Linked DNA regions of Neurospora crassa OR74A. The protein of the gene in region 2 purifies or fractionates together with the protein of the main gene of each other region. This does not show direct contact. Links are inferred from orthologs where the notes say so. Each region holds a gene or a part of one and is shown on either strand. Other genes may lie near its edges. The genes, in order: NCU06226 and NCU03148.

Region 1 (3,603 bases), on a different chromosome or scaffold from region 2:
TCCCTCTACCATGACCAAATACAGCTTATTGCCCCTCGCTAAGCCTACCTACCACTTCCCTCTTTCCCCCCTCCCATAACCATAACCAAAACCATACCCTCTCTCTGTCCCCTCCCCCTTCCATATGCTTCTTCCCACATTACTCTACCTCCCAGTGGTTATGTACAACAGATAAACTAACATGCTACCTCCCACGTGTAGAGACCCACGCCCTTACCGATTCCTGCTGGAAGAAATGCGTCACCTCCCCCATCAAGACCAACCAGCTCGACAAGACCGAGGCCGTCTGCATGGCGGACTGCGTTGAGCGCTTCCTGGACGTCAACCTGACCATCATGGCCCACGTGCAAAAGATCACCAGGGGTGGCAGCAAGTAGGTCTCGCGCGCCGATAGGAAGGCGTGGGAGGATGCTTATCAGGAGGAGGAAAAAAGATGAGAACGGGACAAAAAGAAAAGAGGAGGCAGAGGAAGGAGGATGGCGAAAACGGTGACTTGTTTCCCTTGAGGAACTGGTTGTCCCGCGGGGCTGGCTGGCTACGTTTTTCGGTTGGCTGGTCCTGCTTGGTGGGCTTCTTGGGAGACTTGGAGGATGCGGCCGAGGTATCCGACGCTTGTTTTCATGGTGGTTCTGGCTGGGTCTGGTACACTCGGGCTTACTACGACGGAACGGGGGTACAGAGAAGCACCCTTTGCTAGGGAACCTTTGTTGATCCCTGCGATAGGGCTTGCGATTGAGGTTCTGGTCACAATTCTAAGAGACAGTCATTCGAGGAATTGTTACGGTTACGCCTGAAGGCTTGTACGATATATGTGATGGGACAGGGGAAGGATCAAAGGTAGAACTGGAAGGGAAAAGGGTTTATAGGGCATGGGAATTTGTTCAGGAACTTAGACAGTATGACAGGCGGTTCTTGTAGCATGATATGGGAGCGCGCGATAGCGGGATACTCATCTTCATCTTCAAACACAGACCCAATGCGCAGTGCAGGATAATTGGTTATAGAAGTGCAGATAACAATGCGACAATGAGTCCATGGTGATAGCAAGAATACAAGATGTCAGATTCAAGTCTTAGAGCAAGTAGATCTATGGCTTGCAAGGGAGGAGTTTGGATAATGGCCCATTTGGTCATGTCTGATGGAACGGGCAGAATAGTTATAAAAACTTTCATTTCCATGCCATGGACCAAACGCCAAAGGGGTATCAGACGCCGACTTCTTTTTCGTTAAACAGTAAAACCCATGTATCCCTTGAAGATAGTTTTTATCCCGAATCTTGTGTATTTCCCATAGCTATGAAATCGCTAGTTTAGACAAGGCCGAGCTTGGTGGCAGCAATGTCGAGGGCATCGACATCGGCAGTGAGGCGAGCGAAGGCCTTCTTGGAACCGTCAGGGCTGTGAGTGGAGTTAGCAACAAGAACCATATTAATGCCGGTCCATAGGGACCAAAACTAACCGGATCAGGGTGTTGATCTTGACGGTGTCAATGTCATAGAGCTTCTTGAGAGCCTGCTTGATCTGGGCCTTGTTGGCCTTGACATCGACGATGAAGACGAGGGTGTTCTGCTCCTCGATCTTCTTCAGGGCACCCTCGGTGTTGAGAGGGTGGACGATGACCTTGTGCTCATCGAGACGGGGCTCGTGAGGGATCGACTTGCGAGGGTACTTGGGAGCCCGAGACAGCTGAAGAGTCTTGGGGCGGTGGAAGGTGGTCGAGTATCTGACCTTGGTCTTCTTGTGCGAGTGCACCTAAACAGAGAAAAAGAACTCTAATCAGCATCAGAACGTCACCAGGGGGGAAGGGATCGCGAGTCGTCGCAAACTTACACCCTTGAGGGCAGCCTGGGCAGCCTTCTTGGCCTGAGCGCCCTTACCGGCCTTAGAGGCACCGCCTATCCATAGAGTCCCTCGTCAGCAAAAGCATTCGCCTGGAGCAAGATGATGCCAGAATCTTGTCCAAACTCGCAAAGTCTGCTGCTGCTTTGGTGCATCACCTCCGAATGCCATTGCGCGACACGGAGGATCCGCATTGTGCGCGGGGCGAGCATATTTGTCGAGCCGTTCAATTCATTCTTGGTGGAATCGTCGCTGGTGAGATTTTGAGGTTTCTTCAAGTACCTTTCTTGGTATCCTTAGGGGCCATTGCTGCGATTTCTGCTGTCGTCGGGCTAAGAAATCGGGATTCTCGCTGGTCGTTGTCGGAGAGGAGAAAGTTCACTTTTTGGCCAAAATTTGGGGGAGGAAAAAGTGTGCGCGCGGGATTTGTGTGGCTTGGTAGTGTGGCTGAAGTGGTACTGGCAGGGGTTGAGCTGCGCAAACTGGCGCAAACGGGCTCTGAACCACACCAGAATATCCACTTTCGCGAAATATGCTCCACAGTATTTTGAATCTCGACCTCCGATCATCACTTTATCGCTACGCACTCCGTCATTCAACCTTGAAGGTCATGATGCGCCCTCCGATCCAGCTTTCCTCCTTCTGCTCGTGGTCTGTCGGATGAAGTCGGTGCAGGACACCTTGGATTTTCACAGCTCCAAGCCTCGCTGTTCTGTGCCTATCACGACCTCCAGACAAGGACGTGGTGTAGTTGTCTTGCTAACTACAGTGTCACGAACCACCAATCGAAATCGAAAACCAATCTCACCGAGACGGATCACAGTATCGACAAGATCGACTATTTGCGGCTATATACTTGTTACAGCATAGCACGCGACGAAGGACTATGGCACCCAAGAAAGGAGTAAGCAAGAACCTTGCAGCTGGGCGTCCGCCCATGGCTACGCGACCTAAGAAAAAGGGAGTGGTCAAAAACCTGGCAGCAGGCCGTCCGCCCACGGTCACAAAGCCCAAGTCACTTGCGCGGAAAACCACGAAATCCATCATCAACAAACTCCATCTCCTAGAGAAGAGGAAGGTGCAGGCTATGAAGAAGAACGATAACACACAGGTCGCGGCAATTGAGGCGGAGATCGAGGCTTTGGGTGGTATCGAGAAATATCAGGAAGCAAGTCTCCAGGGGCAGAGACATGACCGAGGCGGCGACAGCTCCAACGTGCTCATGGAGTGGGTTGGGCCGTACCTCTCATCCGAGGAGTATAAGGAAGGCCGCTTGCGCATGCTGGAAGTTGGAGCGCTGAGTACAAAGAACGCATGTGCTCAAAGTAACCATTTCGACATCACTCGGATCGATCTCAACAGCCAAGAGCCTGGGATTCTTGAGCAGGACTTCATGGAGCGCCCGTTGCCGAAGGACGAGTCGGAGAAGTTTGACATCATCAGCCTTTCTTTGGTGCTCAACTTTGTCCCAGACCATAAGGACAGAGGCGAGATGCTGGTCCGCACGACACAATTTCTAACATCGCCGAAGCGGTTCTCCGGGACAACCGCTGCATTCTTTCCAAGTTTGTTCCTTGTGCTACCGGCCCCATGCGTCACCAACTCGCGATATCTGGATCAAGAGAGGTTAGCGGCTATTATGGAATCGATCGGGTACGAGATGGTGGAATCCAAGACAACCCAACGGCTGGTCTATTACCTGTGGAGGAGAACATCAGATCAGGTTGGAAACGACAGGCCGTTTCGCAAGGAAGAGCTACGTTCT
Region 2 (3,533 bases):
CAAACGCATACCTGTCCAGCGTCATCTTTCCCGCGTCTCAGTATTCTGCCGTGGCTTGTAGTCGGTGTTTCTCTTCTTCATCTGCTGATGGGGGGCGGATGGCACCCTTACTTGACACGAGCGTGAGCGCGAAGCTGGAGGCTGCAGGATATGTCTTTCGGGAGTTTAGGGTTGAGACGACGAAGATGGAGTTTGCATTTTCTAGGAGGGCTATACTCCCTCCAAATAATTCCTCCTCTAAAGATATGACGGACATGGCAGACGTCAAGGACACAAAGCCAAAGAAGCTCATAGCTAGCAACCTTGCGACATCATGGACGCTCAACGGCCCGCGCGATGGGGAGGGTTTGGTGGGTGGCGTGTTGCAGGGCCGGAAGCAGTTTGATTTACGGGGAGCGAGTCTGGTCTCTCGGCGGAAGATGTGGACTTTGGCGAGGGAGGTTTGTTCGATGATGGCGCTCAACGACGATGGCGAGATCAAGCGAGTCCTGGGAAGTACGAACCTTGTGTATGATGAGATCAAGGATGGAAGTAGCTTGCTTGAGGGGAGACGGAGGGCAAAGGAGGAGACGAAAAGGGTGGCGTTGAAAGGGTGGGTAAGGAATACTAGGGGTGGAAGCTTTAAACTTGAGTAAATCAAAGGAGTGTTGAGGAACGATTCAGAGAAGGATTGCTGGGAGATATGTGGTCACTATACAAAGCGTGAATGAGTGACATTTCACTTGCGCACTTGAATGCACAGCATGTCTCGTCTCCACATCATCTTTGTCTCGTTGTCATATGGGTCACGATTCCTGATTCGTACTTCTCTCCAATGTTGGTTCGAGAGGCCAAGAAGCTTTTTCCATTTTCCAGCGCTTGGTCAGTTGTTTGGTTTTGGTTATGTACATCGTTTTGATGTAGAATGCGTTGTTCCTATAACCATCATTTCAACCGCAGTCTTTCTCTGGAAGAGTCCAGGAGCAAACCGAGATGGACGAAGACAATTAAACACGTCTTTCCGCCTCGTTGCCACATGTACCAAGTAACATCCTTTCTCTTTGAGCTGGAAGATGACATCAACATTGCCGCCCGAAGAGCATTTCCCAGCTTCACATAGATTCATAAGCCATCATGAGAAGACATTGAACAACTAAAGGACGGGTTGAAGAGACCCCGTGATTTCCCCAACGCAGCACGCCATGATAAATGTCACCGCAAATCTGAAGATAGGAAAGACCGCGTTTTGGGGGAATCAAACAGAGAGAGGGAGTATTTTATTTTTTTGTAATTTACTCGACCTTGCTCTCGAAGTTCTCGCCGGCAACGAGATCGGGGATATCATCCTCCTCAGCGTCCTTCTCGTTCTTCTGCATGTTCTGGTAGCTCTCGGCAAGCTTGCGGAGGGAAGCGAGAGAGTCGGGGCCGAGCTGGTTAAGGATACCGGGGACGAGCTCAGTGAGCTCCTTGTCCTCACCGTTGCCGTAGATGGCGAAAGTGTTGGCAGGGACAGCGGCGTGAACTGTGGTACAAGAAACACAACTTGTTAGCAGACAAGCCCCCAACCAACGTTTGAAGCTTAGCTGTCGCGATATGTCAAGAGGCCGCCTGACTAAGTAGGCCATAACACTCTTGCATACTGGCGATTTTGGACCAAGCCCAGTCAAGGGGGGTCCATATCGCGAAATTGAAACTGGGCGTATTGGTACGTACCCTTAGGGGCGGCGAAGTGGATGACGTTGCCGTCGCTCTTGAACATGTTCACCTCCTCGATGGCCTGGATGGGCTGAACATTGACCTTCTTGAGGGTGGCCTGGAGCTTCTTGTCATCGCCAGCGGAGCGGGCAGGCGCTCTCTTGACCTTTCTGCGGGGAGTACCCTTGCCACTATTTCATTTCGAAAAAAAAGTCCATTGTCAGAAATCAAAAGCCTCTCATTTTGTCTGCATCTGCACGTTGCTCATCGCCTTTCGCTGGGCTCGCGGGGGGAGGTTTTTTGTGTGGGAGACAATCGAGGGCGCGCGCGCGAAAGAATGGAGGGGTAATTCGGTGCTGGCTCGTTTTTTTGTGCGTGTTGTGTGCGAGAGCGATTGACGAGTGATATTTGAATTTCTACATACCCTAAAGCGGAGGGAAAGCACCTTTGTTAGCCTGTCGAACAGAACCTCATCCTACAGAGCGAAAACATGGGCGACGACATACCGATACGGGCCGAGGCGCCCAGCTTCTTCAAACGCTCCTGAACATCCGACATTTTTGCTGGCGGTTTGTTTGGTGATGAGAGGATGTGAGATTGATCTGTTGTGGGGAAAAAGCGAAAGGTGCGGGAGATCTCGGTGAACCTTAGAGCTCAGGGTTAGTTTGGCGCTGGGACCTCATCAAGGACCTGTGGGCGGTAGTGTGGGCTCTGGGCTTTGCGGGCTGGGGGGTTCATGCTGCTGGCTGAGAAGAGGGGTGATGTGTGAGCGTCGCGCGGCGGTGCTGGATGGGCAGTTGGCCCGTGCATACTTAAAATCTTGTCCTTCAAGAAACTTTCCACATACCTACACCCCCGCCGCCATGTTAAGCTTATACGGCATGGTTCGAAACGGTTAGGTAAACAACCCTACTACAGTCACCGGGAGTTACCTTTAATCTATATAGTGTTGATATTGAGCTTCATCCTCATCTGCTTTCGGAAGTTGAGGAATAGGTCTTGTACGCCGGGCCTCGTATGTCCAGCTAGCGGAACCACATCAAAATTCTACCCCACCTGCTTTGGTGCTCACCTTGACTTGTTTCCTGCTTACCGCGAAAGTAAACTCGCCTCACCTTGGGACTTGACATCATCGTCTGTTATGAGGTCCCTCATAGGATGATATCTGCCAACGTAGTTGTACATGGGACAGCTCGCTTCACTACATAGTTTAGGTTGGATGATGGTCCTATACCCTCCATTTCTGAAAAGCGAAGCAGCAAACAGTCTTTCCAGAGAACATCGTGATATTGCACAACTTCGAGACCATGGGACTTTGGAACCAAAAGCTAATCATCTCCGTCCTAAAAACCCAAGACCCTTTTGAACGCCTTCTCTTTCAATACCCATCTTAGAATACACAGTAGTTTTGTACAGAATCATGATGTTACAACCCAAACCGCCTACGTATGACCACTTCCCAACGTAAAGCTAGCCTAACCACTACTTCTCAAGCGGAAGACCGGCCTCACGCCTCATAGCCTCTTTCCTAGCCTTCACCTCATCCGCCAATGCCAGACTCTTCTGCACCGACGCCCGCTGCTGTCTCTCTTTTTCCTCGGCCTCGGCCTGAACCGTCCAGACTAGAAAAGTCAAAGTTAGCACGCTACTCATCTCACTTATCTCCATCTTCATCTTGCTTTGCCCATTCCCATCCCTCTTTCTTCCTATCCACATCCGCAAACAAATCCCCACCTCTATCCATCTCCTCCTCCATCCCAACAAAAACTCCAACAGAATTGCCAACAGACGGACAAAAAGGGACAGAGGGAAGAAAGCTTACTTGGCTTATCAGACTTGGAGTACTCCTTCAACTTGGT

The links.
Region 1: the proteins of NCU03148 (region 2) and NCU06226 purify together in Saccharomyces cerevisiae (affinity purification with western blotting; 3 studies listed by BioGRID, with this or other methods). This does not show direct contact. The link is inferred for Neurospora crassa OR74A from reciprocal best matches to the Saccharomyces cerevisiae genes EGD1 and RPL25.

The regions. Positions count from the first base shown.
Region 1 is NC_026503.1:1,964,842-1,968,444, forward strand, and holds NCU06226 (60S ribosomal protein L25), read right to left. Parts: upstream 2,322-3,603; 5' UTR 2,146-2,321; coding exon 2,121-2,145; intron 1,895-2,120; coding exon 1,830-1,894; intron 1,752-1,829; coding exon 1,459-1,751; intron 1,398-1,458; coding exon 1,310-1,397; 3' UTR 819-1,309; downstream 1-818. Other genes in the region: small zinc finger protein Tim8, read left to right, coding at 202-377; NCU06227 (hypothetical protein), read left to right, coding at 2,725-3,603. UniProt on the Saccharomyces cerevisiae protein: Component of the ribosome, a large ribonucleoprotein complex responsible for the synthesis of proteins in the cell.
Region 2 is NC_026501.1:4,725,138-4,728,670, reverse strand, and holds NCU03148 (nascent polypeptide-associated complex beta subunit), read right to left. Parts: upstream 2,346-3,533; 5' UTR 2,233-2,345; coding exon 2,177-2,232; intron 1,866-2,176; coding exon 1,693-1,865; intron 1,502-1,692; coding exon 1,272-1,501; 3' UTR 800-1,271; downstream 1-799. Other genes in the region: NCU03149 (tRNA-specific adenosine deaminase, variant), read left to right, coding at 1-635; NCU03147 (assembly factor cbp-4), read right to left, coding at 3,157-3,296, 3,497-3,533. UniProt on the Saccharomyces cerevisiae protein: Component of the nascent polypeptide-associated complex (NAC), a dynamic component of the ribosomal exit tunnel, protecting the emerging polypeptides from interaction with other cytoplasmic proteins to ensure appropriate nascent protein targeting.